Linked DNA regions of Nothobranchius furzeri. The protein of the gene in region 1 interacts with the protein of each later gene in a pairwise test. Links are inferred from orthologs where the notes say so. Each region holds a gene or a part of one and is shown in the gene's direction. Other genes may lie near its edges.

Region 1 (16,230 bases):
CCCTCTAATGTCCGTTAGTGAAAGCAAAATTGTAACTTATCTCCTGGCTGTGTGTTTGTTTTTTTAACACCTTAATCTAACAGCTGAAATGCCTCCTCAGCCTTTATTAGTGTCTAAGAGCAGTTCACTAAAATAAATTAGCTGTGTTTATGATCTATAACATGCAGGAGGCCTGCTGGAAGCAGCTCCAGGCACGCCAGCTCCACTTTACCAAGTCCAACAGGTAGCAACCCGCCACTCTGAAGTTGCAAGTGCGGTATTCTGGCTACAGAGGGTGGTGGGGGGTCTGAGTGACTTTTTATAAACCCTGTAAAAGGTCGTTTTAGCACATACTGGCTCAAGAAAATGATTTTAAAATATAAAAAAGTCTCATATTATTAATTTAATCTCAGAAGTTTTACCTTTTTTTGGAATTCTGACTTAAGTATCAGTATTAAAAAGTCTGAATTCTGAGATTAAAGTCAGAAATCTTTTATTTTTTCTTTCTAGTGGCACCAATCACCCTCCATAGAGAAAGGCTTTGTGTTGCTGCAGAGATTAGAATTAAAAACTCAATTTGAGTTCAGAGTCAAAACTGAAAGGTTGCTGTTCAGGCGAGTTGCCATAAAATGTTGACCTCACACTACAAGTCCGTGTGTGGTCTCTGCAGAACCCGCCACATTAAGACAAAAGCACTTCTTCCACTCAGACACAACTATCACTAACGTGGAAAGTTGTTATTGTGGAGTGAACCCATCTGAGGAGGAGACGGGCTGTTATTATGTCATTATGCATTCTGGCTGGAAAACATTTCAGCCCCCGTTCAGACCTCCTGCCACTCAGCCACGACCCTGCGCTCTAACCAAACCAGCCTGGTAGATTTCAGAGGATTGTCCCCATCCTCTTTTAACATGACACTGTCAGGAGGATTGGACCCAAAATGCAGAACATCACAACTCAAGGCTGGAGAGGTCGTTTAAAATAAAAATCCTTTTATTAGAAAAACCAAGACTGTAGGACTCTAAGCAAAGAATAACTAAAGATCTGTAGATGGAAAAAAACAAAAGCTCACTCATGAGCCAGGAACTATAAATCTGTAGAGGGCAACGCTGACATAAGACAATGAACCGACAACCGCCGGAGACACAGACAGGGTTATACACACAAGGCTGGGGTGATAGGAGACGAGGAGCAGGTGCGTGGGGAACTGGGTACAGGTGAAACTAATAACCGAGAGGAGGAGCAGAACGGAGCAGGGGAGGAAACCAGACCTAACTGGGGAGGGGAACACACACACACACACACACACACACACACACACACACACACACACACACACACACACACACACACACACACACACACACACACACACACACACACACACACACACACACACACACACACACACACACACACACACACACACACACACACACACACACACAAGGAGACTAAGAGAACATGGGGAAAACCTGGAGGGGGCTAGGGACCAAAGGGACACAGAACACGACAGACACTACAGATAGATGCGTGCATACTCCTGCTTACTCTAGTCAGGGGTGTCAAATATGCGGCCCACGGGCCAGATCCGGCCCGCAAGCGGGTTAAATCCGGCCAGCGAGATGGTTGTGTAAACTTTATTTTCATACTTCACGATGTAGAGTGAAAATAAACTTATCATTGTGAGCAAGTTTCCTCTGTAATGAGTATAAATAAAACAAAGCTGTGCTCAAGGCTCACACAAGAACTTGAATCACATCCTGAAGTTGGCCGCCACTCAGGATGTGACTTCTGATATTGATGTGCTGGTGAAAGCTAAAAGATGTAAAGTAAAATGAGTCAAATATACTTTAAGTGCTGCATGAAACTGATCTTGCCATGTGATCTGTAAGCTCTTTCAATCACTAAGGAATGTTTCTTTTATTAGTTGATTTTTTTATGTGTTGATTTTATTTTATTTTTTTCAAATTTTCAAGTATACTTCAGGTGTTGTACATGTACTACACTGTCCTCAGGCTCCAGCCTTGTTTTATATTGATTGTATTAAAACAAAGAAAACAATCTGAAGTTTTTTTTTTTAATTTACCGGTCCGGCCCACTTGGGACTAGATTTCCCTCAATGTGGCCCCTGAGCTAAAATGAGTTTGACACCCCTGCTCTAGATGCTTTAAAGCTTACATCAGACCCCCCCCCCCCCCTTATTTTTTCTTCTCATTGGTTATTTAAAAAAAGGGGTAAAGATCATAAAACTGAATCAAGATCTGATACAGGTCAGACTTAATGTAATCCCAATGACATGATTTAGATTAAATCTGCATTCTTTATCCTGGAAGTTATTTAACATGATCATTCAACCAATAGAAAGCTATTATACTTACACCTTATCAAAGAATGCACCTGCCCGAGCCAAATAGCTTTATTACTTTTTAAACTCATAATTATTATGTCTGCTGTCCTCCCAACAATCACTTTTTCCTATAATCTGTGCTGAGGCATGAAAATATTCTAGAAATGGGTTAGTCATGTGTTTTTCTTTATTTGATCACTGGAAAGGTCTAAAAGATCTCATCTCTGTCCCGTCATCCTTGGTGCATATTTCAAACCTTTTTTCTGTCTTTCTGTCAGTGAGCAGCGTTTAGAGTCCCTGCAAATGAATCCGAAAGATTGTTGTTCATTTTTGCTGACTGGAGTGATGATTTGTAGTTTTCACGTTTTCTAAACCGCAAGCCCGCCGTGCTGTTTTGGATTGATGTGTGAGACAACCACCACCGTCATTAAAACACCAAATGAAGGACTATATTTTGGAAGATGCCCTCCAGCAGGGTTGCACTAGAAGTGGAGGCAACATGTGGAGGCCCAACACCTTACTGAGACATTTATTATGGACCCTGTCTTTATATTTGTTGGTCTTTTCTAATCCTTCCCTTTAAAACAAAATGTTTTCTTACAAATCTTAATGAATTGGTAATGTAGTGTGCCCAGTCAAAGCTGTTAATCCTCTTTATGTGGAGCCGCTCTTTCCGCTCTGAGGCCTGCAAGCTTATCTTCAGCTCTGACCGACTGAAGCTCTTGCTGTGCTTGATCCGATTTACACGTTTAACTGATATTTATTATTTTTTTTCCAGCATTTCTTGGTAAAATCCAAAAGTGACTATTTTAAGTTCTGAATCCAACTATCGTCACTCTTGACTGAGTCCCTCTTCAGCGTGTCTAAATGCATGCACGTCATACGTGTTTCCCATAAAGGCTGCTGTGATATACGGCTTTGATTGCATGTACACAGAAAAAAAAACGTGTGCTTGCACATTCCACAAGTCAATACTTCAGGATGTGCACGCCATCTGAACCCCCCTCCTCCTTCCACCAGATTGCACAGTTAATATTTATGCGGGCGTTATTTTCTCTCATAGACACAGCCTGGAGGCATGATTTCCGGCTCCTCGCTCGCGTTTGCCTATACCTCCGTGCCTCCCACCTCTCCATTTTTCCAGGTCTCTCCCTGTATGAGTAATTGCTTTCACAGGTTGTGGCTTGTTGACTGCATTGAAGTGCAAACCAGTGCAGAGCTAAGTTGTGGGTGCTGGAGAGAGACAGCAAGAGGAATGGGCTGTGGGGGTCGATGGAGGTTTTTCTTGAGAGGATTAATGTCCCGGGGGAAGGTCTGCAGAAGTGTCTCTTTAAACCATCCTTTACCTCCTCTCCTTGCCTGTCTGATCATCCCCATCCTCCTTTTTTCTTGTTCTCTTGCCAAACTACTTTTTCTCTCTCTGTCCTTGGAGATTTTTTTGACATTGTTGAACCAGGAGATGACAGAGTGGGCCTTCCATAGTTACTAGTTGAATGGTTTTGACTGACGGCAGGGATTAATTAGTTTGAGGGGAGCAAACTTCCTTTTCGGTGTGTGTGTTTGAGTGTTTGTGAGTGTGTGTGTGTGTGTGTGTGTGTGTGTGTGTGTGTGTGTGTGTGTGTGTGTGTGTGTGTGTGTAGGCACACAGTACAACATCCTAAAATCTCTTGAATTCTTTTTTTAGTATAAAAAATCACAAAAACAAACAACTTCAACCTTCTGTGCACGTTTTTCTTGTGTAAAGCAAACTGCACCTGCAGCATAAACAACACACACACTCGCAAAGCTGGACTCAAAAATAAAATCAGTCACACACATTCGTAAGTACCCTCAGAAATGAGGAGTTGTGTCTTAAAGCACTGATCACAGGCAAGAAGAATCTACCACTAAGCTATTGATTAAATGTTAGAGTACCCCCTGCTGGTGGAAAGAGGTTCTACACAAGGAACCAAACTGTGGACATTATATTTATGACTGAAATCTGTTCTTAAAATAGTAAAATTAATTTGAAGTCTGATAAAATCCTGCAGCTCTACATGACGTTTTGCTCTGATATCGGATTTTATATGTTTGTTTTCATTTCTGCATGCCATCTCAGAGGATGCTGGAGACGAGGAACAGAAAACCATGTGTGTTAAATGTGAAGATGGTTTCTATCAGTAAGTGTCCTTAGACTGAGTCAGAACACTGTGTCCGCAGCATTTTTTTTAATTACTGTGTTTGTTCTCCAGGTTAGGAGCTGACTGCCAGAAGTTCTGCCCAGATCGGACCTACAACGTGGAGGACACCATGGTGTGTGCTGCCTGTGAAGATAAACACTGTGCAGTGTGTGACCAGTCTCAGTGCTACTGGTGTGATCATGGATTCTTTGTCTTTGGTAACAGTTGTCATTTTTGAGTTTCAATCAGTTTTAGATGGTGAACTCCTAATTAAAAATTATTTTTAACACTGATTGTTTCAGTTCATCTCATTCGTGTGTGTGTGTGTGTGTGTGTGTGTGTGTGTGTGTGTGTGTGTGTGTGTGTTTTGTGCAGATGGAGAGTGTGTGGACCACTGTGAGGAAGGGTACTTTGTGGATGAGGAGACCCAGGAGTGTGAGCCATGTCACCGCAACTGTCGCACTTGTGGAGGGCCCAGACATGATGACTGTGACTCCTGTGAGGACGGGGTGACACTGTCGGACGGGGAGTGTCTCGAGAGAAGAAAGCTGGTTGTTTGTCCTGAGAAATATTTTGTAAACAGTAAGTCCACACTGACCTGATCTGACTGGTGAATATTTTAATCTTTTGTGTTTCTAATCCAAAGAACAGGAATGCAACATCAGTAGATCACTTCTAAAATGACAAATTGTCTTTCTTTGGACTTAGGACTCTTATTTCTGTCATTCTAACGGTAAAATGTCATTTCTCATCAGATCAGGACAAATGTGAGCCGTGCCACACCTCCTGTAACACATGTTTTGGTGCAGAGAAGGGAAATTGCAGCAGTTGCCACTCTGGTAAATGGTTTCTATGCTGTAGTAAAATGTCTATAAGAACTTGCAGAGTTCAATCAACAGCACACATCCTGATCAGTGTGTGTAGATGTATGTATGTATGTATATATATATATATATATATATATATATATATATATATATATATATATATATATATATGTGTGTGTGTGTGTGTGTGTGTGTTGTGTATTTTCAACTCCAAAGGAGTTGAATTTAACTCAGTTTAGATAACATCAGGTCCCAGTCAAAAATAGAGTAAATGTACTCTTCAGCCAGTGTTACATTTTCAGTGTTAAGTACTTCCTGTTAGTTTTGTCATTAACAACAAACTAGACGAGTAAATGAAATAAACTCCATGTAGAGTAGACATGTAACACTGCATGTCTGCAGAATGTAACACTGACTTTTAACTCTGATGTTTGAGTTGGTTTACTCTTTAAATAGTTGCAAACACTTGGTTAAAATAAGTTGACACTCTATTTTTTTTTTACAGTGAATACTCCATTGAACACAATACAAAGACATTAACCTAACTTCTCTACTAAACTGGATGATTTTATAACTTTTTTGTGGTTTTAGGAAATTTTTTGACACCTCTTCAGTCTTGTCTTTCCCATTGTCCCTCTGGGACATTTGGCGATAAGACAACTGGTCGGTGTGAGGAGTGTCTCACAGGGTGTGCAATGTGCCGAGAAGCAGAAGTCTGCCAGGAGTGTCGCAAAGGACTTTATCTGCAAAATGGAACGTGTGTGGTGACATGTCAGAGGTGCTCCTGTTGTATGACTTTTCGATTTGTACATTCACCCAACAAATGCACATACGAACGCCGTTTTATCTGCTTCGTTCCCAGAGGGTTTCCGCAAGGTGCTGCATGCCATCCGTGTGCCTCAGAGTGCGGATCCTGCAGGGAGACTCCGTCTCACTGTTTGAGCTGCCAGAGTCCATTTTTGCTGCTGGATCATTCCTGCCTGTCCTCCTGTCCAGAGGAATTTTATAGAAACAACACAGAATGCCATCACTGTCCAGATCACTGCAGAGAGTGCAATCAGGATGGTCTGTGTAAGAGTAAGTACACTCGGTGGATCAGTGGGACGTAGAAGCCCTCTAATAAGAATTCTGCATAAACAACCTTGAAGAGTTATTGACCGGGATGTTTTAAGTGACAATAAATAAAACTCATCCATCCATCCATTTTCATCCACTTATCTGGGGGTTGGCAGTAGCCGAAGCACAGAGGCCCAGACTTTTCTCTCCCCAGCCACTTGGGCCAGCTCCTCTGGGGGGAATCCAAGGTGTTCCCTGGCCAGCTGAGAGACGAAGCTTGTCCTGGGTCTTCATTTAGGTCTCCTCCTGGTTGGACGTGCCCGGAAAACCTCACCAGGAAGGCATTTTAACCAGATGCACAAGCCACCTCAACTGGCTTCTTTCAATGTGGAGGAGCAGCGGATCTCCTCCGAGCCCAGATGACTGAGGTTCTCAACCAGTCTCTAAGGGAGAGCCCAGCCACCCTGTGGAAAAAACTCGTTTTGGCCGCTCGTAATCGCGATCTCGTTTTTTGGTCACTGGCCAAAGCTCGTGAACAAGGTGAGGGTAGGAACGTAGATCGACCGATAAATCGAGAGCTTCGGTACAACGCCCGCATCACTGCAGACGCAGCACCACTCCGCCTGTCGATCTCACGCTTCATCTTTCCCTCACTAGTGAACAAGACCCAGAGATACTTAAGCTTCTCCACTTGGGGCAGGACCTCATCCCTGACCTGGTGAAGACATTCTACCCTTTTCCGACTCAAGATCATGTTCTCGGATTTAGAGGAGCTGGTTCTCATCCCAGCTGCTTCACACTCGGCTACAAACAAAGACCAAGAATTCTAAATTTAAGCATATTTTGCAGTTTGTGGACATTATGTCAAAAATAATGTGAAAAGAGACTTTACTATTAAACATAACTGTGAAATCAAATAAAACTAAAACGTCTTTGAAATAATAAAATGAAAAAATTCCTCCACTGCATTTAGTCCCTTCTTAATGAACTGAATGCATGTTTAAGTTCGTAAAATCAGACATCATTGAGGTCTCATTTCAATATTTGTGAGCAGGAGAAATTTCAAACAATCGTCATTTATCACCTTGCAAATTTTTTGCTTTCTGTCTCAGAGTGTGCGGAGTATTACTTCCTCCATGTTGACGAGTGTGTAGATGATTGTCCTGAGGGTTACTTTGCCAGTGACAAGCAACAGGAGTGTGTGCGCTGTCATGCTGATTGTGCATCGTGTGACGGGCCAGGCTTTGATGACTGCGACAGGTGTAGCAACACAAGAGCTGTTCGTTACAATGGAGAGTGTCTGGCTAAGTGTCCGAGCAACACTTACTATGACAAGAATACAAATGAATGCAGAGGTAGGAAAAGTGAAATCTGAGAGTGCAACATTTGTGTTATAATCACAAGATTTTTGTCCTTGCTGCGGTTTCCAGAAGGCTTTGTTCTTGTTTCTTCAGATTGTGACAAGTCGTGCTTGACCTGCTCGGGTTATGGTCCATCCGACTGCCTCAGCTGTGATCCCAGCAGGCGCAAGGATGCCAGTGGGCACTGTGTGTGGTACAGTGAGTGCTCTATGGACTCATACATGGACCCAAACGGAGAGTGCCAACAGTGCCACGCACTCTGCAATCGCTGTAATGGTGCAGACAGAGACCACTGCCTCAGCTGCAACAGTCAGCGCTTCCTGCTGAGTGAGTCTTCCGACTTAAGACTTTTATTTCTTTGCATTTAAATACATTTTCATTGCATTTGTGTTATTTAGACAACACCTGTGTGAAAAAGTGTCCCGTGGGTTACTATACTGAGGTCAAAGAAGGGCGTGAGTGTCAGCGATGCCACTTCAGCTGCGAGTCTTGTGTTGGTAATCACAGTCTGCAGTGTGTCGCCTGCAAACCTGGATATTTTAGGCAGGGCGGCAGCTGTGTAGAGACCTGCTCAGAGAGGTAAACAATGCTTATTTAGAGAGGTTTTTTTTGGTGTTCATCATCTAAACTGAAATTCTATTTGTTTTTCAGCTACTTTGGCAACAGGAGCACAAAGATCTGTGAGCGATGTGACCCTTCGTGCAGCCAGTGCTTTGGTCCTGGGAACAGAAACTGTTTGAGCTGCAGGGGGAGCTATGTGTTCATGAAGCAGTGGAGGCGATGCCTGAAGAGCTGTCCTCTAGGATACTACAAAGACAAAAGATCTACCACCTGCTCCAAGTGTCACCCAACCTGCAAAACCTGCAGTGGTAAAAAAAAAGAAAGACGTACTGACGTCATGTGGGATAAGGAGATGAAGAACGTCTGCGTTGTGTTTTTTAGAACAATTGTTTTTGAGTCATGCGATGAGATCGTGCTTTGCTTAAAATTCCTGTCATTTCAGATGAAGGAGCTCTTGCTTGTCTATCTTGTTACGACGGCTTTATGTTTATGGGTGGATACTGTTATAACCCTTGCATGATTGGCTTCTATCCAGCCTCAGAGGTGACAGAAAACATTTATGTTTACATTAACTGGTTTTATATCAACAGTAGGACTGAAACAATTCAACATGAGTCAGAACAAAAGGTTCTTTGTTCCACCACATCTTCCTTTTAAGGAGCCAAACGTCCGCCAAAGTCTTAAACCATTAATGTGCTCTATCATTTTTGCACAGTACTGCACACACATACATGTTTTTGTGTTATTTCAGGATTCTGAGAGTAAAACACTCAAATGTAAAACTTGTGATCCTTCGTGTGAGGGCTGCTGGGGTTCCAGCTCATGGCAATGCACTCTGTGCCCCCCGACCCAGCTCTTATCTGACGATGGCCGCTGCTTGAGTTGCTGTGGAAATCCGACATTTCCGTACGATAAACCAATCCCGAGGGAGTGCTGTGACTGCGAGGCATCCCGAGGTGAACAAAACACTCACTGTGAAGCACATTTTGCAGCTAAAATAAGCCAATTGCTTCATCTCTTCAATGAAATTCCCTTTCACGAATTTGTGAATAGATGTGTTTATTCTTAATCATAAAATGCTTTTTTATGTGTGTAATTTATTTATAAAGGTCTTCCCTCTTTACTTCATCCAGCTGAAATGATTGCCAAAGTTTTAACTTCCAGCTAAACGGCTGTTCCCAGTATTTGATGCGGGAGCATTTCAACTGCCCTTGGCCTTCGTTTCTATAGATAAGGCGAACTGAACGGTTGTGAAACTCACTCAGAAATTCTTTGGGAACTGTTTTATTTTGTCTTTCAAGTCCGAACAAAAAAAGAAGAGAGGTCAATTTAAGAGATGAAAGGGCTACATAGGGGTTAAGAAAAACGTACAAATGTTTGATGTCAGCATTTAACCCCGAAATCCAATATGCTGACATAGTCTCATAGCCTGGCAAGACAGACTAAATAAATGTATTATTTAGTCTGGCAACGCTCCATTGACGGCTCTCAGTTGTGGGGCGGTTGCTACTGTTGTCTTTCAAATGAGCTCTGCATGCTACTGGACAATGAATGTGACATACTCACCGCAACAGCCATCGGTAAATGAGGCGGTCCGCAGTTGAAGAAGGAGAAAACACATCATTTTTTCTAAAAATAAGCTCTTAAATACATCTATCTGCTCCTGATTCTAATGAAGCCCAAGTTCTAATAGTCCAAAATTAATGTAAAAGCTCCATGCTTTCGTTCTTTTTTAAACACAGAAACAGTTTTGTTTACCTGTTTGTAGCTACAGTTTCGCCGACAGCTGCCGGCTTCTTCAGGCTGACGCTGATGGTGGCGCGTCACTTCCTTCTCCGTTTATCTGCGGGCAGCAGAGGATGTTGTCGCCCTCTACTGCCCACTCTCCCCTCTCCGACGATGCAGTCCCATGCGTGTAAACTCCGTCGTCCCTGTTCATGGTCCCACATCCACGTCTCCTTATCTCGATTGCTTCCTTGATCCATCTTTTGTATTTTTGTTGTTCAGTGGTTATGATCCGTGTGCTGTCCCAGTCCATTATATGGTTTTCTCTTATGCAGTGATCTGTTACGGCTGACTTCTTTATTGTACTTTCTGCTTCTTCTTTTGCTGCTCTTGTGTGTTTTCGATTTGCCTCTTTCTCGCACTCCTTTCTGGCAGCCGTCGGCGAAACTGTAGCTACAAAACAGGTAAACAAAACTGTTTCTGTGTTTAAAAAAGAACGAAAGCATGGAATTAGAACCACGACACAGTAAGAACACACCTAATAATGTAAAAGCTGTTTCAAACGAGCTGTCGCCATCTTGTTTCACTCTGTTGCATCATCCCACCCACCAGGTAGATAGAGTGCCCTGATTGGCCCACAAAGCGGATAAAGCGCTGTGATTTGTTCACTAAGCAGATAGAGCACTATGATTGGCCCACCATTATGGAACAGTCACAGCTCTTTATGTGTTTGAAACCCCTCTAGAGAGCTGTGATTGGCCAGCCAGAATGCCGTTAGGGGCTGCAGAGGTTCCAGTGGAGCGTTCCTAGACCAAACTTTGCAAAGCAAGAATTTGGTCTAGTTCACTAGGCTAATAGTCTCACTTACTCGGACACCAAAATGTACTGGTAAGTGGTCCCCTCATAAAAATTAAAAACTCGCTTTAGGTAACTAGCAACTCATATCTTCTATCATGATTACCTGGCCGTTCCACCAGACACTGAAGCGTCGCGTAATGCCTGAAAGAAAACATTGGTCATTCCTAAAAGAGAATTTATATCTGCTGCACACCAAAAATCTGTTATCATTTGTTAATATGCTTTCTCCTCTTCCTTCTTCTCCAGTGGAGTGCATCCTGGGGGTCAACTTTGTGATGAAGACGGTTGATGATGTAAACAGCACTCCTAGACTCTTCATCTGTATTTGTGTTGTGGTTATCCTCTTTGTGGGCCTAGGAATCTTCCTCTTCCTCAGCACTCGGTCAAAGCCTTGCTCCACGAAGCCTAGAACCAGAGCCGGAGGCTACGAGCAGCTGAACACCAACGGGGGCTTCATGCCACAAACCACCACCTCTGCGTTTGGAGAGTACAGCGACAAAATCACGGAATGTGAGGACAACGATGAAGAGTACGTTGATGAGGATATTGTGTACATGACAAAAGATGGAACGGTGTATCGGAAATTTAAGTACGGACTGCTGGATGATGATGATGTTGAGCTGGAGTATGACGATGAGAGCTACACGTTTAGATAAAAACATCAAACCAGTTCTTTACATTTTTCTGTGGTTAAAATTTCCTCATGATTGTGATGTAATTTTTTTCTAATGTGTCCTTTTAGAATATTTTGCACAATGTGTGGCTGAAGCAAGGTGAAACGTTTCTATTTCAGAATTATAGCTATTTAAGTCTTATCACTAACGTCTATAAATGTTTGTTATTGCCAGATTGTGTAACATACTGTATGACTCACAAGAAACAAACTGTTCAGTTCCAGTTTAAATGACAGTTGGTTACCGGACTAGTTATTCATAAATGTCATGTACCATTGTGAACGTTTTCTGAGCTCCAAAAATAAAAAACCCTACAAACATGTAGCAGAAGATTTTGCAAACACTTTCCAACAAGTGTCTCTTTACTAATGTTACTTAGTGCATTATTAAGCATTAATAAACTATTAAAGTATTAACAGCTACTTAACCATATTATGTAGTGCATTACTAATTACTTGTCCTAACCTTAAGGACACTTAATAACAATAAAGGTAAAAGTAATAAAGGGTCCCTTTGTTTATTAATGCTTAATAATGCACTAAGTAACATTAACATAGGGGCTCTATTGTAAAGTGTCATTTTAATTGCTTTTTTAAATTAATATTGAGCTGTAAATAAAAGACTTAACAAGGAAATACAAAAAATAAAGATTTTAAATAAATATGTGAAAAAACGTGTTGGTTTTGAAGTTCGGATCTGTGCAACACTGAAAAAAAGGGGGTGTAATAAAACACAAACTACATATGTCATCTTCAGAAATACTAATTTATATGGTTTAAAAATAATGCAAAAACATAAACGCTTAAACTGTTCAGTCTGCTTGCAGGAACCTACGCTCTTGCAATAACACCAGTATACCGTTGCAACAGACGAGTACAAAAACACCAAAATCATAACAGATTTCTTGTGATATTTTACAGATTTTCTGAAGCAGCACATTTGACTTGAACAAAACAAAAAACCAACCCCCCCCCCCCCCCCCCCCGCACACACACAAAATATACAAAAATAAGAGATGAAGTGATTAACGTGTCAACATTCATGACAATGTTGAGTTTATTGTCTGCATAACATTTAACAGAAAAAAAAGATCTAAACTCTAAACATTAAATATCCCAACTGAAACAAATTACAAAATGGCTAAATAAATCATGATTGAAGGTTTCACCAAATTTCTCAGGCACACACAGGCATTAAATCATCTCACAAGATGTTTCTTTTATAGCATTTGATGATTTCTGCAAAAATCAAGAGACCACATACTTTATGCAGAGTAGATTTCTCTATAGATTTTCAATGTGACGAGTATAAATTAATGTTTAAAGACTTTAAGAAAATATCAAAATAACACGTGGATCCCCCCCTTTTCAAAATTTTACCAATGTTTATACCTAAATAAAAGGTGACGACCTTCATTAAAGCCTAAGTGTTCTGTTCATAAATGAATCTTTTTCATCCATATGAGTCATTTTAAAATAAATTTAAGATAAAAAAAATATACCCTGCAGCAGGTCTCTCAACAAATCTTTCCAAAAATATTCCTAATAAATTAATGCATTATGGTTCGAAACCCAAATGATCTGAGAAGTTTCTAATTTCAGGGCCTAAATGATCAAGACTCTAAAATACAGAAAGGACAGAAAAAGGGTAAAAAGTACAGTTATTTTATGTAAATTCATATCTTCAGTAAGAGTTTTAATTATAGTGATACAACCCACAAACAATAATTGTCAACATTCTTAATTTTTCTTTAATTTAATATTGGTGCAAACTTCTTTACCAGGTGGTAGTACACAGTATACACAGAAAGTATTTATTTCCTCCCCTCTTTAAATGACTAACTATACAGCAGGACTAGTGAGAGGCAAAGAGGCAGACTGGTATGAATATTTACATAATTCATAATCTACTCAAAGACTGGCTGCATTTCAACAGCTGTTAGAACAAAAAAAAAACCTAATAAAGAAAAATAAAAGTGAATGAAAAGGCGGTTGTGGATATGCGCTAGCTTTGTTTGGGTGTCTCAGCCAGCTGTCAGTGACCATTAATGATAGTCTGGGATGTGGATGCGGAGCTTGACGATGATACTGGAGACGAGTTTGTCGTGTTGGTGAAGAAGTGGTCGTCTTTTAGTTTGCGATGCTCTGGGAGCTCCAGCTTGATCTTAGCCTCCTCAATGTCATTATTGATGGCTGCGATGAGAGCTTCTGTTGAGATGGAGATGGACAGAACAGAGAATGTGGGCGAAAGTAGTAAAAAAAAACAAAAAACAATAAGAACTTTGAAACCAGTGTATATTCATCTGAGGTAGGTGAGGAAAAAGGCGTACCGAGGGAGTTGTAGGTCCTCTCTGGGCGGATGAAGCCCACCAAGACGACACTCAGGATATTCCCATAAAAGTCCTCTTTAAATTTGTGAATTATGTGAGTCTCCTGGAATAAAATACATTCACGTAAACATTAATAAGGACTGCAGATGCAGCTATGTTAAACAGGTTTTATTTAAGCGAGAATAACTGAGATCAACTTGTATTATTCCCTGTTTAAGCATCCCAGTCTGAAGGAGCATGGAGGAATTCTGATAATAGCTGCTTGGAATATGGAAGCATCAGATTAAATTAGCAACTCAAACCTTAAAGAAATATTCTAGTCTCAGCCAAAACTGATTAAGTGTTTCAGCTGGCTCAACCAGGAAACTAGTTTGTTTTAATGTTAGCGCCAGCTGCTCAGCATTAGCTTAGCAAACATTTAGAAGATCATTAGTGAAGTTTTTCACTCTTTAACTAAGGTATCAGTGTGATCTAATAACAAAACAGCTTTGTGAGGATTTTAAATGACTTCCCACTAAGGAGACCAAACAAAACATCCCAAATTAATCCAAAAGCTAAATGAAAAAATCCCCTCACTGAATATTATATTTAAATTAGTCAACAGTCATTTTCATATGCACTGTATTTTTGCTCTAAATCATATTGGTGTTGAACCGCTGTTTTTAATTAATTTACTGCTATATCTTTATACAATGTCTTGTGACCAGACCATCACTGATTTAAAATCTCTTCTTTTACAAACGGTAAAGATGTGTGTGAGATCACTTTCTCTCTGACCCAGCTGGAGGTGAAAAACCCCTCTAATGGTTCTTACCATAGACTTCTTTGTATTTTTGTAGTACGGGTTCCAGCCGATGCTCATCACCATTTTGTACACATTGCTATTGCCCACGGATGCCCAGCCATAATAAATTCCTGTACGGATATCTGCTGGAAGACTGTCCACCACAGAGTCTGGGAAGTTTGCTGTGGAAGCGAGACAAATCGGCGAATGATTAAAAATGAAGAAAAACAGACATGCAGAGCAACTGATCAAGCTGAAATAGGCTAGAAGTGAATGAGGTCAACCATTTGTAAGGCTGGAGAGGTGATAATTTATAAAAACAGAAGGTGAAATTCACTTAGGCTACAAACATGGATATATATATATATATATATATATATATATATATATATATATATATCTTTACAGTGTCCTTAGGGGGGGAAATGGCTCTTTGGTTACAGACTTGGTGAAGACTGATATATCAATCAGCCAATATAATCGTCTTATATTTACCGGTTTTTTAATGCATATATGCATAATTGGCATTGGTCAATATTTGTCCTTAGTAATGTCGATTTAAAGTCAGGCACATCCTCTGGCAGCTCGGTGCTGTTGCAGTATTTAATTTAAGCCTATTACTGTCACTAATAACATCTGCATAATAAATACTCTAAATAAAACTTTATTTAGGCATCTGACTTTACCACTGAGAGATGCACATTAAGATAGGATTCAAAAATTGATTCAACTTCAGAAATTTTGTGCATGAATTGATGAAGTGACATTTTACTATGAAAATACGGTGAAAAACCTCTAGATATCAGTCATGAGAATCAGCCCATAAAAAATCGGCAGTACACATCAGCATGGGAAATAGAAAAACCATCGGGTCGGCCTCTATAGTAGACCCCTTCTCTATACTGTTTTACACAATATTATGGGCTGTATTTCAAAAGATCTACTCATCACCACAGAACTTTTGATGAAAAAAGATAATTTTATGTAATTTCTCTTACTTTGACTCTAATCAACATAATTTATTTACTGCTGTGTTCATTTTTATTAAAAGAAAAAAAACACTCAGTAAAAGTGTAGTAGTAAAAGTAACCAAAGTTCAGCAATTATATAATAAACAAAACCAACATTGAAATTATAAATATTAACCCTGCGTTTAAACGTTGTGGAATAAAATACTCCAAATCAATAATCTAGGGGTTATTTTTATTAAATGGGAATTTAACTATGAACAATCCGAAGGACGCACTTCAGTTAGATGTCAAGTCCTGTTACGTAACACATTTACCTCAACAAAATAAGAGCCGCTATATGTATGTGATTACCGGCGCACAGTCAACAAATCAATCAAATGGGATGTAAACGATATTTGGTTCTTTGGCTTAACAAAACAATAATTTACTGAGTAGTCTCCATGTTGTAGGAGAGCTAACTATAAAAGGAAAGAGATGCCAGGTAAATGTCTCACCTGTGGGAATTCCGAGTTCTTTGCTTCCTCGTCCAAATCCTCGAACGACCTGACCTCGACAAAAGTACGGGAGGCTCCTCATGATGGTATCCCCCCGAAAGC
Region 2 (16,964 bases), on another chromosome or scaffold:
CCACTCACACACAAACAAAGTCATAGCAATTTCTATATATTTTCTGCATCAAATAGCATTTTAAACAAAAGAAAATTAGAAAAGAAAAACGAAAACATGCAACAACAAATTAGGAACTGCTTGAATTATTAGGAATAAACACATGGACTCATCTTTTATCAAGTCTCAGAGCTACATGGAGATGGGCGGGGCTTAAAACATATAATGCAGCCAGCCACTAGGGGGCCTTTCAGTTTCCTCTGGCTTCAACTTCTGCAATGTGGCAGTTGTATGTTATTGAATAAATTGATGGAGTAAAGTTAATATTAATAAGGTTCTTTGAGGAATATATTGACAATATTGAATAATTGTTTTTAAAATATGCACATAAACCTCTGTTTTTGAACAGAATACTTTATTATTTACACAATACTCTCTGACCAACGCTTATTTTAGAACAGATTTTAAAAGGAGTTACCACAATAGTAGTTTTAAAGTCACCCAGTACAACATTTAAAAAGAGAATAAAACAAAACCTCTGAAGCCTCAAATAAAGATTTTATTTTATTTTTAGATAATAAATGTGCTAACATTTCTTTCAGTGCTGTAGGAAAACTTTTAAATCTGATCAACTTTCACATGCGTCATGTTTCGGAAGATGATAATAAAATGGAATATTATGCTAAAGGTTTGCGTTTCTGAATAATGCTTCCTATTAGCGGAGCCGCTTCACTGAGTCGTGTCACAAAGCATAAGAATAATATCTCACCACCCAAGGAAGATGAGCTCTCATCCTCTACTGGAGCCAAAATACTACAGAGTAGTCATACTGTAAGTAAATGTACTGCATTCTGAAGAATTTAGGAAGTAAAGCAATCCTCCATCTGTTAAAGATGGAAAATCCATTCTTCTGTAAAGTACAACCAACATCCAAGGACTGAGGTGAAAGTACCATGTGGTCCCTGAGGCTGATGCATTATTCATTCATCATGGCATTATTTCTGAATCATCAGTCTGAACACAAAGCTGCGTGTTTTCATCGTAGCTCCTGGAGCTGAACTACTTTACTGTACGAGTAGTTTTATGTGCAGGAGAAGGAAACCCCTATTCTGACCCACATCCTGCACAAATCTGTGATTTTTATGGTCGACTATCGTAAGCGTAGTGGAGCAGAGGTTTCTGGAATTGTTGCTAAAATCCAACAAGGTACACTTTAACAGTGTTTCCTTTTAGTTGCATCAAATTTTGTGATTTTATTTTGCAATAGCAGCTGCATTAGTGTTGTGTGAAAAATCTCAGAATGTTTCTTTTATATTTTATTTTATTTTATTAACTGTGACGCTTCAGATTGCTTCGTGAGTTTTTTTCCTGCCAAACTGGATGGTATTCTTTATTTATGACACATGGAAGGTGTCTTTTTAACTTTTGATTTATTCACATTTGGAGTAAGGTGACTAAAATACCTCTAACTGGAAGCCTTTAAATTTTAATTCATGAACTGGTGAGTGCTGTTTACTGTCATTCAGGTCAGGAGCACTTATGTCCGTCCGTCTTCCTGCCTCCTGTTTTTTGTTTCCTCGCCTAAAAGCTGAAGGTTTATATAATTATTGCTTCTGTTCTTAGTCCTCTCACTTTTATTAGCTTTGCATAATATTCATAAATGTGTCTAATTCTCAAATTGACCCTTTTATGTTGATTAACCCTGTCTGCATACTGTAGGACTACCGGCTTAACGTGTTTCTTCGGCAACAGTGGAACGACCCACGACTGGCTTATAAGGAATATCCGGACGACTCCCTGGATTTGGACCCCTCCATGTTGGACTCCATTTGGAAGCCTGACCTGTTTTTTGCAAATGAAAAGGGAGCAAACTTCCACGAAGTTACGACAGACAACAAACTTCTTCGGATATTCCAGAATGGAAATGTCCTCTACAGCATCAGGTGACTGGTGTGAAATGGTTTTAATAATATGCAATCGGGCTCTCCACTTAACAAGAGCTTCTGCATCCAAAGAGCTGACATCTAAACTTTAAAGAGCAAGTCGCCCCCTACCAGAGTCTCACTCCACTCCCACTTCCTGTTTGAAAAATGCAACAAATGCTGTTGCCTGGCAGACCAAGAGGGTGGAGTTGCTAACAAATACACACACGCGCGCACACACACACACACACACACACACACACACACACACACACACACACACACACACACACACACACACACACACACACACACACACACACGCACGCACGCACGCACGCACGCACGCACGCACACACACACACACACAGGCTCACGACGACAATGTGACATCATAATGTACCAGCTAAGGTCATAGTAAACCTCTTAGCCAATAGCGATGGCGGATTTAAACTCAAATGCAGTGCAGAGTTTTTACCTGAAGATGGCACAACACTAACAGTTTTAGGCAGAACATTTACATTTGAACTAAGATGCACTAAAGTGCCAAAGTATTCACTACGAGTGTCTACAGCATGATTAGGCACTCATTTATGGAGTTTATTAGCAAAAAAAAAGTTGATTTGGGGGTGACTTGAACTTTAAGCTCTCTGCCCGCCCTGCTATGTTTGTCTGAGCTCATTTGTAATTGCACCATCCAGCACGCACTGTAAACAAGGTAATGTTGGTCCATAACTGCAGGCTAACACCAAATCAGGTCAGTAAAGTGGCGCTAAAGCGGTGAGGCAACCAGGCATAAAGCTGAGTTATACAAGACGTCGGCTTCCTGCTGGTTTCTAGGAGTGTGTGTTAGCAAGAATCTGGCGATACGATATGATATATATATATATATATATATATATATATATATATATATATATATATATATATATATCACAACACAGGGGACACAATAAGCTATGTGACGTTTGCCATTTTTAAAATTGAATTCACTTTAGAAAACGCAGGCCTGGCGTTTCACAATCAGTGAAACGCCAGGCCTATCTCAATGTTCCATCAGAATAGAGGCTGTAAAAATTCAAATGTGTAAATACTTCAATAATCCCAGGAAGAAATTAAATGCTGTAGAAACACATATTGTTTCAAGCAATAATAATACAGCAGGTCTGGAGAAGCCTCTGACTGAAGATGCTCTGTTGTTGCTGCACGGTGGTATCATGTTTTATCAGGTTTATGTTTATCGATCCCTGACTCTGATGCTGCTACCCTGACAGGCGATGAGCCAAGAGACTCTCCTCACCATAGTTATAGAAGTCATGCAGCATCTTGCTGCAAACCATGAAGGACCTGAGTGTTCTGGAAAAGTACTCTGCTGTCAAAACTGCTGCCACCTAGCAGTCAGAGTTTAAATTGCACCACACAAAAGAAATTCAGTTAATGTTTGCATGCACATTCCCAATAAAATATGAATACACTGCTTTTAAATGTTGAATCAGCATCATAACGCATCATAATATTTCCTACTTCCCTACTGGTTTCTGAAATGAAGGCTGTCCTAAAGTTTAAAGCTCAGACCTCAGCTTTGATGTTGCAGACTTGGTCCTGCTGGCCCATGGGTTTGTGAGCTCTCTGTGCCCTGAGTTCTGCCTGCAAGGCTTTCATTCCCACTTGAGACCACTGCAAATGTATTATTAAATGAGTAATCTACCTTTAAAACCACATGCACGTTATTGTTGTTTAATATAGGGAACTTTGTGGTGTTTAATGTACCATGAGAAAAGCCTCTGTTGTCTCAAACCTGCTTTCCCATGTAAATTAGAAATGCTGTAATGGCCATGGAGAAACAGTTTGCTCTGAGAAAGTTGGTTTAACATCCAACCCACTGTGACATTGCCTGTACCAACGTTAGTCATGATAATGCCAACTGCAGCCTGAGCTACTGCTAATGCTAACCTGAGCTACCTCTGATGCCCTTGCTGGATAAGAAGAAAATAACAAAGAAGAATGTTGGAGCCAGAGTTCTCAATGGTTGACCCGAACCTGGTTACGCAAAAGGACGGGGACAACCAGTCGGTCCATTTTGGGCATTATTATGGGATTGGCCAGCTCTGACTTCTTTTCCTAAAGTGACAGAGCTCTGAAACGGCTCATTCTGGAAGGCACTGAAACTGCCAAGAATAAACTAATGAAACTGCTTTATGTGAGAGAGGTTTTTGAGCAAAGAACTTCACAAACACATTTTATGTAGGTCATGGAGCCAATATGTTTGTTAAAACGTCGTAACAGGTCTACTTTAAATGTAACCTTTGACCCTGGATGAAAACACTCACATGAGGACACAATAACTGCTGTCTCTGTCCTTCAGGCTGACTCTCACTCTTTCTTGTCCGATGGACCTGAAGAACTTCCCCATGGACAGCCAGATGTGTACTATGCAGCTGGAGAGTTGTGAGTTCATCTTCTAAAGCCATAAGAAGGACACAAACTTTGTCAGTGAACATGCTGCTCTTTGTGCACCTTTATCCACCTCTAGTTGGATACACGATGAATGACCTCATCTTTGAGTGGCTGGATGTTGGAGCAGTGCAGGTGGCTGATGACCTGATGCTCCCGCAGTTTGTGCTGAAAGAGGAGAAAGGTCTTGGCTACTGCACCAAATACTACAACACAGGTATGTGACACGGAGCCGGACGATGTCCTAAACTCTGGGTTTGTCAGCATCTGCTGACACTGTCCTCCTGTCTTCAGGCAAATTCACCTGCATCGAGGTCAAATTCTACCTGGAGCGCCAAATGGGTTACTACCTGATCCAGATGTACATACCTAGCCTGCTCACCGTCATCCTGTCCTGGGTGTCCTTCTGGATCAACATGGACGCCGCTCCGGCCAGAGTGGGGTTAGGGATCACCACTGTGCTCACAATGACGACGCAGAGCTCAGGCTCAAGGGCCTCACTGCCGAAGGTCGGACTATTTATTTAACATTCTACAGAACTACCCTTACAGAGTTTACCCTCCTAAACACATTATTTTTCTGCTTCTGTAGGTGTCCTACGTCAAAGCCATAGACATCTGGATGGCAGTGTGTCTTCTTTTCGTGTTTGCGGCGCTGCTAGAGTATGCAGCTGTTAACTTTGTTTCACGGCAGCACAAGGAGTTCTTCCGACTGAGGAAGAAGCTCAAAGAGCAGCAAAGGCTGAGGACTGTGAGTACAAGCCACCCACTCAGGCCCTCGGGCAGCTGTCACCTGCTATTGCCTGCACCCAGCTATGCAGGAGCAACAGTTCAGCTGCATGCTGCGCTCCGACTGGGAAAGGCAGCCAGCAGTGGCCTGTGGTTAATGCAAGTCACCTCACTTCACTGTTGGTAAACGTTCTTGTGTCGGATATTAGAGAACAAAGGGGAGCAGAAGTGGGCTGAGTCTACCATCTAGGAAAAATTATTTCCTAAATAAAGCATCTGTTTATTATTAAAAGTTGTGTATTCTCTTCTCTATTAGCAGGGCAGCAGTGACAGTAAGGTGAAGGGAAATAACACGCCAGGGAATACTCCGTATCATGGGAGTGTGAGCCAGCGTTGCAGCGCCTGTGCCAGGGTGTGTGCCGTCTCGCCGTTCAACCAAACAGCAGGTGGTCAAACCCCAAACTGGGTCTCAGTAAGTCTGGTTGTGTTTTCCAGGAGGAGGAGCTGGCCCATCAGGGTTTTCTCTTCCAGAGCATTGGACTCGCTCTGTCAGCAGGAACTGCACCAGAGATGGATGCAACCCCGGTCTTTGCCGACTTACCTCCTGGTTTAGGTTTTTATGAAATCCGGCGACGCTTCGTGGAACGGGCAAAAAGGATCGACACCATCTCCAGAGCTCTTTTCCCCATGAGCTTCCTCATGTTTAATGTCCTCTACTGGCTCACCTACAAGGTTCTACGACACGAGGATGTCCAGCTCACACTGTGAAGACACCCCGAGGACGGCAGACACGACTTCTCTTCACTGAAACTGACAGACTGAACGTCCCTAGATAAGATGCATTTTGACTGCATGCAGGATGCCACTGCAAAAATCTGGCTTTTATGCAACTCTGATGGTTTGTTTTCCATTTTATTTCTGCCAGACGTGCACTTTTTAAAATTTACAGTGAGTCAGAAACGATCAAATCCTTATATTCCAACTGAAACAAACAGTTATTCTCCTAAATGTCATGGTTCCAAACACATCACTGAGACATAACAGATATCACTGAGCTGCACTTACTGCTGTGTTGTTGTCACACTTTTATTTACAGGCTTGACATTTCTACTGCATAACTCTAGGAGTGAATATATCTATATTTTTAAGACATTAATATTTTATCTTACAGAAATTATCCAAGAAAAATTAAATAATAAAGTCTGAAATAACAGTGGATCTTCAGAATGTCTTTTATTTTGAAAAGACAGTGAGCCCTGAAGTAGGTTGAAAAGCCAAAGGAAAGATGTTGATTGACTGCTGTCCTGATTCATCACAAGGAGGACGCTGCAGAGGCAGCTTGGACCCATATCACAGGTTCTGAGAGGTTCTGCTGAGGAACCAACGTCTCCTTAAGGCTATGGTGCCTGTCTGCTGCAACAGGTCCACTATCACGGTCCAAAAAGAATCAGTTGCACAACCATCTAGAGTAGGAGTCTGCAACATTTACAATCCAAAAAGCCGTTTTTCTCCTCAAACTTTGTTTAGAGCTAAAAAGGAGTTTAGAGCGTTAGTGGTGGTCAGAGGGGCCGACGGCGCCAAATGGCAGCCTCGCCTCTGTCAGACCTCCCCAGGGCGGCTGTGGCTACAAGTAGCTTACCATCACTAGCAGTGTGTGAATGTGAGAGTGTGTGAAAGCGTCTTTGGGGGTTTTGAAAAGCGCTATATAAGTTCAATGCATTATTATTATTATTATTATTATTATTATTATTATTATAACAGGAAGTGTGGGTGGAGTAAGACTGGTAGTAAGGTGACTGACTTCAAACTTGCATTTTTATTTTATCCACACATTATTTCTTTATCATTTCTTAGAGGCTGACTGCTTAGTAGTGCATTACATAATATGGTTAAAGCTGTAATACTTTGAATAATAGTTTATTAAAGCTTAATAATGCACTACGTAACTTAATAAATGGATCCTTATTGTAACGTTTTACCAAATTTACATTTCATTACAACCTAACTGCTGAAAATAAATAAAGGATACAAAAAAAAATCTAATTCCTTTTTTTGTGTGAAACTTAAAGTGCTAAACAAATTACTTCCCTAAAATTTGTTGATACATCTAAAACTAAGAAATGGATTAAAATAAATACGAATGCTTTAGTACTTTTAATGTTTTAATTTTCAGTCAGAATAAGCTGTTAGTCAGAAATATTAACATGCTTTTTAGGTGCTTTACACTAAATCCACACTTCCATGAATTCCTTTCTAATCTAAAATTTCACTAAAACTTTTTCTCTGAGTTAATAAAAATATCACAGCAGAAAATGCATCTTAAACCCCTCGATATCTGCCAGAACACCGTTTTTATTTTAAAGATACTGCATGTCTGTGCCCTGGAGAGAACCCTTTCACTAAAACCTGTCGTTTAAAAAATAAAACCTGCCTTTAAATGAAGCAGTCATATGAATATTTTATGTCAAAGTAGCAGTCACGTGCACATTTTAAAGGTGAAGTAGGGCTGCACATATCAGCAAAAAGTGTCAGGCTAAAACAGGCGTGGTCTATTTTACTATAGATACTTAACTTTCACAGTTTTCAGACATCAGTTGAGACATGTTGAAAAAAGAAAGAAATGGTAGAGCTAAATTATATACGTGTGGGTTTTATTCTGAGTCCAGAGACAATGGTGAAGTTAGGTGATTCATTTGTCCTTGTGTTTCCTTTCCTGCTCTAAAGCGAGATTAGAAAATTATATGTTTAGCCGCTAGAGGGAGTCACTGGCGCGACTATTTAATTATTACAACTACCACAAGACAACAAAAATATAATAATAATAATAATAATAATAATAATAATAATAATTATTATTATTATTATTATTATTTCATAATTACCGTTGAATAAATCAAAGCAATACATAAATAATATTGATATGCTGTCTATCAAATAATCAGTGTTTTTATTCCTTAAATGTGGCTCTGTGTGATTCCAGCCAGGTAAAGCATGTAAAAATAAAAATGTGCATGATTTTACAAACACGTCAATTTTTCTTATAATAAGCTGATCATATATGCATTAGGCAGCAGCAAGAAAATTTTGTATAACGCAAATAAATTAACTGCTTTTCCATTTTTGGAGGGGGCTGGTCTCTTGTGACCCTAATGTGTCAACTAGCTGGAGACGTGGCAGCGCCTCGGGTCATATGATTTAGGCTCTTCCACGAACCCCACCCCGTTATTTCACACTCCATATATATATATATATATATATATATATATATATATATATATATATATATATATATATATATATATATATATAATTTGAAATCACTCCCGTGTTATCCTAAACTTCTACGTGTGCGCACATTTTAAAGTCTTATGAAATACTCTTTAAGCACCTAGGAGTTGATTCTAAAGGTGGGTTTCAGAGGAGTGACCACCCAAAACAGGGCCATTTTTAGACATTTTACTGCTGACGTTTACAGAGGCTTCAAATAGCTTCCGTTTGACTCTGGTAGTGATTGGACTGAGAGCTAATAACACACAGGCGGAACGCGTCCGACATTCTTCACTTCAATGGAGGAACAGCCCAAAGATCGGGCACAAGACAGGCACTACCACCACCACGGGGAGGACAGGAACTCTACTCAACGCACAGCTTGTCTGAAAAATGATCAGAGCCACTTCCAGTGCCAGCATCAGGAAACGCAGACGAAGAAAACAGGTCGGGCCGCCCTGAAAAGTCGGCTAATGTCAATGAGCCGACTAGCATTCGCTAGCTAACGTAACTGGGAGCCAGCTAGCTCCTAGCTGCTGCCCCGAATAGTTTTGAGGACGGGCGGAGCAGCTGGTTAATCAGACAGATAGTCAGCCAGTGTCACACGAGAAACCACACATTATACTCGCTATCTGCTGACGTTGCGTGAGCGTTGTCGCTGCTGGTGGTTTGACAGATCGCAGATTGACCTTGTGCGCCGGTGCCGTGCCGAAAAAAAGAACCCTTTATTAATTTTTCTAATATAAATGTAGATACTTGTGTCCTCAGCGGTCCAGAAAAACACGAGGAGGTATGTCATTTGTAACTTTTACTCGGTGTATTGGTAAAAGAACATACCTTGGGATTAGCTTTCTGCGCTAAGAGTGCTAGTGATGGCAGGGGCGCTTTTTTTCGGCACAACACCGGTTTCACCGCCTAATTTTAAATGGCTTATGTAGCTGAATATGTTCTAAAACACCGCTTATGTCCCTCTGTATTCTAAACAAAACAACTCTTCTGTAACAGTGGCCTAAATTGTACTGATGTTATTCCAGTTAGCTCTGTGCAGTGTAGGAAACCGAGCCGGCTCCGCTGGAATGTTCTGTGCAGCCATTTCCGGTCGGCCATGTCAGAATATCACAGTTAGCTAACGCAACACTAACCGGCTAGTTAGGAAAATATGGACAACAACGACACGGTGGACGTTTTTTTACGCGTCATTGTCGACCGGTACTGTGGTGTTATCGTTGTCCGCTACTAGCTAGGCGATATTAGCAGACATTAGCCATTTGACAGGCCCTTTTGAATGTTGTCTGGAGAAGCCACGCAGCTGATCAGGCTCTGTCAGCATTAAGCGAACGTAAGCTGACAGTCGCTGTAAAATGTACATTTGCTAAATGAAACTAATTGTTTTGGCTGTGACAGGAATGTGAGGTGTGTTGTGCCAATAAATGTTACTGGGGTGGAGAAGCACTGTGGAGTAGGAAGTCCCACGTTGACACAGCACTTCCCACGAATCTGAGCCTTCAGAGGCCTAGTCATGATGCTTCACTGTAAATCTGTGCTTCCTGTATCCATCCACCTTTCCTATGCGGTGTGCCATTAATACATTGTGATAATTGTAGCATAATAAGTGTTTGGCTAATCTTAAAACATCACTTTCCAAGAAACTGCAAACCATAAACGTATAGTTGTTAGATTTTGTGGTGTCTGTAGAGTCCTATCATTTCCACATCGTCTTATTTTCTTTCCTTTTTTTTTTAGGCAATAAAAAATTAAACGTTGGCGACGAGGAAGGAGAGAGGAATCTACGTCTGTCTGATCCTGTTGGTATGTCGCTTCCTTCCCACGGCAATGGTAACAAACATGCGCACAACGCCAGTCTAAAGCAAAAAGGGGCGCAGAAGCTCTACACGCCTGCTCCAAAAGCGAGCAGCAAATTTCTGGACCGTAAGAAGAATATGGACTTTAAAAATGACAAGGAAAAGACTCTGGATTTGACTCACGATGACCTCCAGAGCTTGGATAAGAAAGACTCTGTTTTGCTTCACAACGGTGTCGTAAATTGTGGCTTCATTACAAATGGCTATTCTAGCAGGGACAATGATGGCAGCGGATCCGAAGGCGGGTACACCACTCCGAAGAAACGCAAGACCAGGTGTAACAATGCCAAGAACACTGATAATGTGACAAAAGAAAAAGAGAGAGACATGCAGCCCCGCAACACTACACAGGAGCTGGGGGCTTTGAATCCTGAGGCGACTGAGAAAGGCAGATCTACCCAGTCTGCTGCCAAACGAGCTGTCGTTCCCGAGACTACAGTGGGGGAATCTCAAAGGAAAAACTCCGATGGCAAAACAGCTGGCACCTTTGGTAAGAAAACAGAGGAACGGCACAAAGGCAAACTCTCCTCTCCTTCAAAGGAGGACCCGTGGACTTTGTTCAAGCCCCCTCCCGTATTTCCTGTGGACAATAGCAGTGCTAAAATCGTTCCTAAGATCAGTTATGCAAGTAAAGTAAAAGAGAACCTCAATAAAGTAGCTCAAAGTGGAGAAGTGGTTCCTCCTCCCATGAGACTGTCTCAAGTCCCGATGTCTGCTATGAAAACTATCACCTCAGCTAGCTTTACTAATGGTCCTGTTTCTGGAAATGGAAACGGCTGCCCGTCTGCTGGCACCTTCTTCGTTCCTGCTGCTAGTTGTATTCAATCAGCCCTGTCTGTCCCAAGTGGCGAGAATGTAGCATCTTCTCTGGAAAGTAACTGTAGCTCAACAAGTCCTGTAGATGGAGACGCTAACGAGCTTAAAAAGTGTACTCTGTTAATCTACCCTTTAAATATGCAACCTGTGCTCCCTAGTGCTCGTCACCTCGACCCACCGGCTGCTAAGACAAATCAGAAAGCCCTGGGAGACATCTTCCAGAATCAGTGGGGGCTCTCTTTCATCAACGAGCCCAACCTGGGGCTGGAGGGAGGAAACGGGCATCCTCCTGCTGAGGACCAGACTTCTGGGACTTCTCCAAGTGAGAGTCAGACTGTTGAAGACAAGGTGGTCCTGCCGTGTTTTGATGTTAGCCCAATATTTGTAGAGCCTGGAACTTTGTTCAAAGACTCTGAGAGAAGGACTTGTGCCCCTTGCCAAGCGTCAAACGCTCGTTCTCCTGCTTTTGAGGAGGAGACAAAGTTCCCGCCATTTGGCCAGGACAAAACGAAGTTTGAGATCAAAGGTTCTTCTGTCTCGGCTCTTTGTAAAGACAATGGTGCTAAGCCTGTTCAGGGCCAGCAGACCACTGTGCTGTTTGGCTCTTCTAAAGAAGTGGTCCACCCGAACGACGCTAGCAGGAGGTGTAGCTGGGGGCCCTCTGACATTAAAGCTGCTGTCGCCTATCACACTAAAGGTAACGGTGTCCGCTTCTATCTGTAAAACATATTGGTGACAATATGGCGTCCTGTGAATGGGTAATAACTGGTGTGTGTGCCAACTAAACTAACCCCAGTTTGCTGTTATTTTCCAAGCTTTCCTCGTGTGACAGCCGAGTGTGTTGGTTAGATTTCCTAGAAGTTGGTTTACAGCCCGAGTGACCTTTAAACTCCAACTTCAACTAGCAACGTTTTAAACTTAAGCATGACTTTATAACATGATGGTTTTTTTTTAAAATTGCATTTGAACATTTTGTCAACTTGCCAAGTTTTTAACTAGAGGAAACCAGAGAACACACCAGAGATGCTGAATTAACACATTTCCGTTTTTCTCCCTCAAACAGAAATGGAATCCATTTTTAACGTGCAAAAACAAGGTAAATAAACCGTTTTAAGTTTGACTTTAAAACTTGCTTTGTGTTTGGGTGCCCAGCATCACTAGTCATTGGTTTTAGTGGTTTTTGTTCAGTGACGCGGTCATGAATCCCACGTGACTGTGGGAGGGATGTGATGTTGACAAACCTTTCTTCTTCTTTGCTGCAGATCCAAAAAGAGTAGTGGTTTATGATGAGACCAAGGATGGACCTGATCAGTGAGGTAGATCTACAGTTTTCTACCTGGGCCGACGAAAACAACAAAAAAAAGTAAAAATCATGTTTGATGTGGCGACAACTGTGAAAACACTGACAGCTAAGCATGATTTCCTTTGGAATCTCGGGCGTACTCAAACTTTAATTTTTTGGTGGGCATCAAACCAACGGACACTCTGGATGGACGCTAAAGACGAGTCGATCGGTGCCTCTCCACTCTGACAAATGGACAAATGCAACTTCCTAGCTGTGGTGGTCCTTGTCTCATGGCTTTTAATGGGACAGTTTTCTGGGTTTGACAAAGGAAGGTGTCCTTGACCGCACCTCCGTAAGCCTTTATCCCGTTGAACTGTGGCGGCTTTGTGGCCCAGCTGCGGGACGCCTCGGTCATGTTCGTTCTTCATGCATTCAGATGAGTTCACTGTAGATATGTTAGTCGTTCCACCTCCGTGTGCAAGCTTGAATTCATGCTGAAGGAAAGATCTGTAAAAAAAAAAAAAAAACAGCCTTTATGTTGTGGAATAAAGGTGTCGGGAGTTCCGCTGAGACGGAAGCCTGTGAGGCTCCATGCAGGAAAAAGGAGAACTTTGTCTTAAAAATCCTTTACAGGAGAAACTACGCAGAGCCCAGAAGTTTTATATGTATTACCGCTCCTTTTTATGCTGTTTTCAACGGAACTAACCCGAATATAATTTGCTGTATGACCCGCCACCCCCACCCCACCCAGCTCAGATAGTGATGGGTTTAAAGGAAAGCTCCGCCCCTTTAACATCAGGTGTGCTTATGACACCACCAGGTCTCTGTTAAATTCAGAAGTTTTGAAACATTTCACACAGACGGTCGTCGGATATTCACAGGCTGTTGTCAAATTCCGGTTCTGGGTTTCGGAACGGCCCGGGACAAGAACCACTCACTTCTGAGCTGTTCTCCATTCTCTGCTTCTAATTCAGCTGCAACGCTCAGGATCTCTCAACACTTCATCTGGTCCGCATTCGTTTTCAGCTCTTGTTTATGGAAACCGTTTTTGTTTACAGGTGTAAATGAGTCACTGTTCATCACAACAGTAACACAACTATTGCAATATGAACCTCGGGTCCCCAGCTCGCCACTTTGTGTTGAAATGTGAAGACGGGTGGTGTCAAACCTTTTGCTGTGGATTAACCTGTTAGTGTGCAATAACATCATAAATGTGTTATGCGGAGCTACAAAACGTCCTGAGATGCTCGTGTAGCCTGCAGTTTAGTTTAGGTTATTATTTTTAGTGCATCCTCACTTTGTTGCACAGTTTCCTCGCTCCTTCCTCTTCTATTTGTCTCCAGGTCTCGTTAAATCTAGGGAATAACTTGGAGATCCCAAATTATCCCAACTGCCTCCCGGTTGGCGGCAACATTGTTTTAATCCTTAAGAGCGGATACGTATTTTTCAGCCTCTCCAAGAAACGGTCCTGAATTCTGTTCTGATCTGGCTAACGTGTGGATTACTGGCACTTTATGTAAACAGATGACCTTTATCTTAAATGCTATAGAAATCTATGAAAGAATGGCTCTGCGCTGTTACTTAAAACATAAAAACGTTGCTAAACACAGAATTACTAAACGAAACTCAGGTAGTGTCGATAAGCCATGGATATACTGATTATTGTGTTTTGCCAAACGGCCCCTGTCCTGTAACGGTCTCTTGTTGGAAACACGGAGTCGGAGACGCACGACGTTCGGAAAACGCACCAAAAAGAATCTTTGGATGAAAGTTTTTTTTTTGGCCTAAATAGTTTTCTTTTCTTTGAGAAAGCACAACATGTTTTCTGTATCTTTAACCGTGTTCTCGCCATCTTTGCTGGTTTCTTTTCGTGTGTGTGTGTGTGTGTGTGTTGGTTTTTCTTTCAGAGGGCTAACTTGGTTCTATCCCAGTTCGTACCCGCCTGTTCACAAAAGGTTGGAAGTGCAACAGCTTTTATTGAAGTTTTTATAAAGGCTGTCATGATGCTCTAGTTGTTAAAAAGCCTGTGTGTGTGTGTGTGTGTGTGTGTGTGTGTGTGTGTGTGTCACTACAATCTGCTGTTCTGATGAAGGATGTTATTAAGTAGCATTCTCTCCTTTTTGCCACAGTTTAGTCTGATTATGTGAAAACAAAAACTTGATCCAGTTAAATAGAAGTAAGTCTGGTTGTTAACAGGGTTAAACTGTAGTCTTAATATTTACTTTATTAGCCACCCCCCATTTTTAAAGCACTTATTGTACACAGCAGCAATGAAGATCCATTTGTTCAGATTTCATATTACGGCTGCAAACCAAAGTGTGTGTGTGTGTGTGTGTCTGTGTCAAAATCAGTTTATTTCCACTCTCCCTCTCACCAGGATGTGCAATCACCTGAAGGATGCTGATGCTGGCTTCCAGGTTGGGAGCGATGGAGTGTGTGTGTGTGTTCGTTCTTCCTCTTATATGCAAGTTCCTCCCTTCTTTAGAAGCTCTCCCCTCCCTCCTTGTTTCATGTTCAGGTGCCTGTGTGAGGCGGAGGGGGAGAACAAACTAACTTTAACGATACTTGTGATTGTTCAAAAACCTGCTTCCAGCATATATCCGTGCCATTTGATATCCCTTTGCTTCAGTTTTCTAACAGCTGATCCCAATCTTCTTTTCTTGGAACAACGGTGAGAAGCCGCACGCGTTGGCGTATTTTTATAAAACTTTCTGGGTGTGTTTTTATTTTTATTTTTTCTGTTTTGTGGCTCGCATTCAGAATCGCGACCTGAAGCCAAAATCACGCTGAAATGGGGGGAGCGGACGGCTGTGTGTGTGCTGGTGTATACTCATACCAGACCTTATCAAAATAACGTCTCTTGTAGCAAATAATGATTTAATTTGGACTCATTTATCGCGTTAATGTTAACACATTTTAAAGGTGTTTTATTTTAATTTCTTGACTTATAGCCTAATTTATCCATAGCTGCACAGGTAGACTAAACCAATAAGTGATGCAGAAAGTCCAGATGTTTTATATTAGATGTTTTAGTTGATTGAGGCTGATGTTAAACCCCTCCCTGTGGGTTTTATTTGACCCTATTGGCACCGATCTTTAATATATTTGAACATTTCTTGCAGATTTTACACAGAATTGTTGTAATTCTTCACTTTAATTGTGACGAGCGTTAAAATCCACTGCATCTAGAGTTCCTAATATATTTTATTTGTGGTGTCGATCGTCTTCTGAGGGCAACTGAGGTTTTACCGCGCAGGTGCTTTCGCCAAAGGTACACTAATCAGACGTTCGGCTATGGAACGGCGTGATGTCATCGATGGTTACGCGACATGCTGCTGGGTGAGGGGGAGACTCTAATGTAGCAGCTGAATGTCTCGTTTAACTGTGTGAGCCACGAGAGCTCCTAAAACGATTTAATCTAAAAAGGTGAATACCGAAGTGCTGCTTCTTCATCCGGTTATCGGTCACCCGTAACGGGGAAATGCTGGACGCCGTGTTCACGTAAAAACTCTCCCTCTTTTACACTAAAGGGGTTTTTTGTGTTTTCAGGACTTAATCAGAAGACATGATGCAGGCAGGTTGTGGTGAATTACATTTTAATTTCCTCTCAAATGATGTTTGAGCTTATGCTTTTTAATTTCTTTGCCCGTCTTGTATTACTTTTCCATCGGCTTTGGCTCGGAGCGACGAGGCCGTCGAACTTCTGTCTCAGATGTCTTACAAGTTGGCATTTCTGTTTTTCAGTGAGCCTGATTTATTTAAAAAGTTCTTTTGTCGAATTTAACAAATTGTCACATTACAATGTTTTTTTTAAGCATGATGATAAAACCCCTCAAATTCTGAAAAATGTAATAGTCAATAAAAAAAAGCAACTCCCATGTTCACTGTTTTAGTTTTCATTAAACTGTCGAGCTTTCTGGAAGAAGGTGACGTTTTTGTGTTTTTAATTAGTAAAGGTGGAATTTTAGTGTTTTTCTTCTGCTTTCTGCTACAGATGGAGCAACTTAAAATTGGATCTGTTATTTTCTAAAGTTTCAATTTAACTCCAGAAAAAAGTTTTCACTGAAATTAAAATGTTTATTTTAATGACATTGAAATGGACGACTTAAGTTGCAGTTGTCACAACTCCATGTATACATGGTCTTTAGATGCTTTTACATATAATCAGTTGGTTTTATTCCTCTCAAGGCGTTTGACAAAATAAACTGCTACTGAGCTCAATTCATTATGCCAGTTAGTCAAACGTTTCCTATATAAGAAATCCAGCAAAATGATTTGAGTCACTGACTTGTGTCGCTTTACAGCGATCTTCATAATAGGCAAGCATGTAGCGACAGTGGAGAGGAAAACTCCCTTTAACAGGAAAAACCTCCCAACAGAACCTGGCTCTGTACGAGCAGCCATCCGCCATGACTCACTGGGGGTTTAGAGAAGACTGAGCACACACACATGTCCACGACCAGTGTGATGTTTCTGTTGAGAGGAACCCGAGCTGGACTGGAGGTTTAAAAGGGACGGAGACGGTGAGACTGTTGTCCTCTGTGGTGCTGCTGGGTGGGGTGTTGGTCCAGGACCTCCCCATCAGTTAGAACCTTTACTCAGGTTATGAACTTTAGGTGGCAACCTATTAAATAAACTTAAAATGTTATCA

The links.
Region 2: the proteins of pcsk5b (region 1) and nufip2 interact in binary tests that used the Homo sapiens proteins (3 or more experiments, as listed by UniProt). The two-hybrid records come from large-scale screens. The link is inferred for Nothobranchius furzeri from reciprocal best matches to the Homo sapiens genes PCSK5 and NUFIP2.

What each region holds. Positions count from the first base shown.
Region 1 is NC_091757.1:46,947,028-46,963,257, forward strand, and holds the end of pcsk5b (proprotein convertase subtilisin/kexin type 5b), read left to right. Parts: intron 1-4,427; coding exon 4,428-4,488; intron 4,489-4,560; coding exon 4,561-4,706; intron 4,707-4,863; coding exon 4,864-5,070; intron 5,071-5,243; coding exon 5,244-5,327; intron 5,328-5,906; coding exon 5,907-6,093; intron 6,094-6,177; coding exon 6,178-6,392; intron 6,393-7,483; coding exon 7,484-7,726; intron 7,727-7,825; coding exon 7,826-8,059; intron 8,060-8,130; coding exon 8,131-8,311; intron 8,312-8,383; coding exon 8,384-8,601; intron 8,602-8,735; coding exon 8,736-8,836; intron 8,837-9,044; coding exon 9,045-9,249; intron 9,250-10,763; coding exon of another isoform or gene 10,764-10,828; exon of another isoform or gene 10,829-11,100; intron 11,101-11,122; coding exon 11,123-11,532; 3' UTR 11,533-11,870; downstream 11,871-16,230. Other genes in the region: rfk (riboflavin kinase), read right to left, coding at 13,585-13,757, 13,880-13,982, 14,694-14,845, 16,129-16,210. UniProt on the Homo sapiens protein: Serine endoprotease that processes various proproteins by cleavage at paired basic amino acids, recognizing the RXXX[KR]R consensus motif. Likely functions in the constitutive and regulated secretory pathways.
Region 2 is NC_091750.1:49,395,154-49,412,117, forward strand, and holds nufip2 (FMR1-interacting protein NUFIP2), read left to right. Parts: upstream 1-8,553; 5' UTR 8,554-8,649; coding exon 8,650-8,797; intron 8,798-9,004; exon of another isoform or gene 9,005-9,140; intron 9,141-9,553; exon of another isoform or gene 9,554-9,689; intron 9,690-10,093; coding exon 10,094-11,725; intron 11,726-12,091; coding exon 12,092-12,124; intron 12,125-12,290; coding exon 12,291-12,343; 3' UTR 12,344-12,840; downstream 12,841-16,964. Other genes in the region: glycine receptor subunit alpha-2, read left to right, coding at 1,699-1,922, 4,267-4,349, 4,435-4,572, 4,650-4,864, 4,947-5,105, 5,400-5,495, 5,579-5,851. UniProt on the Homo sapiens protein: Binds RNA.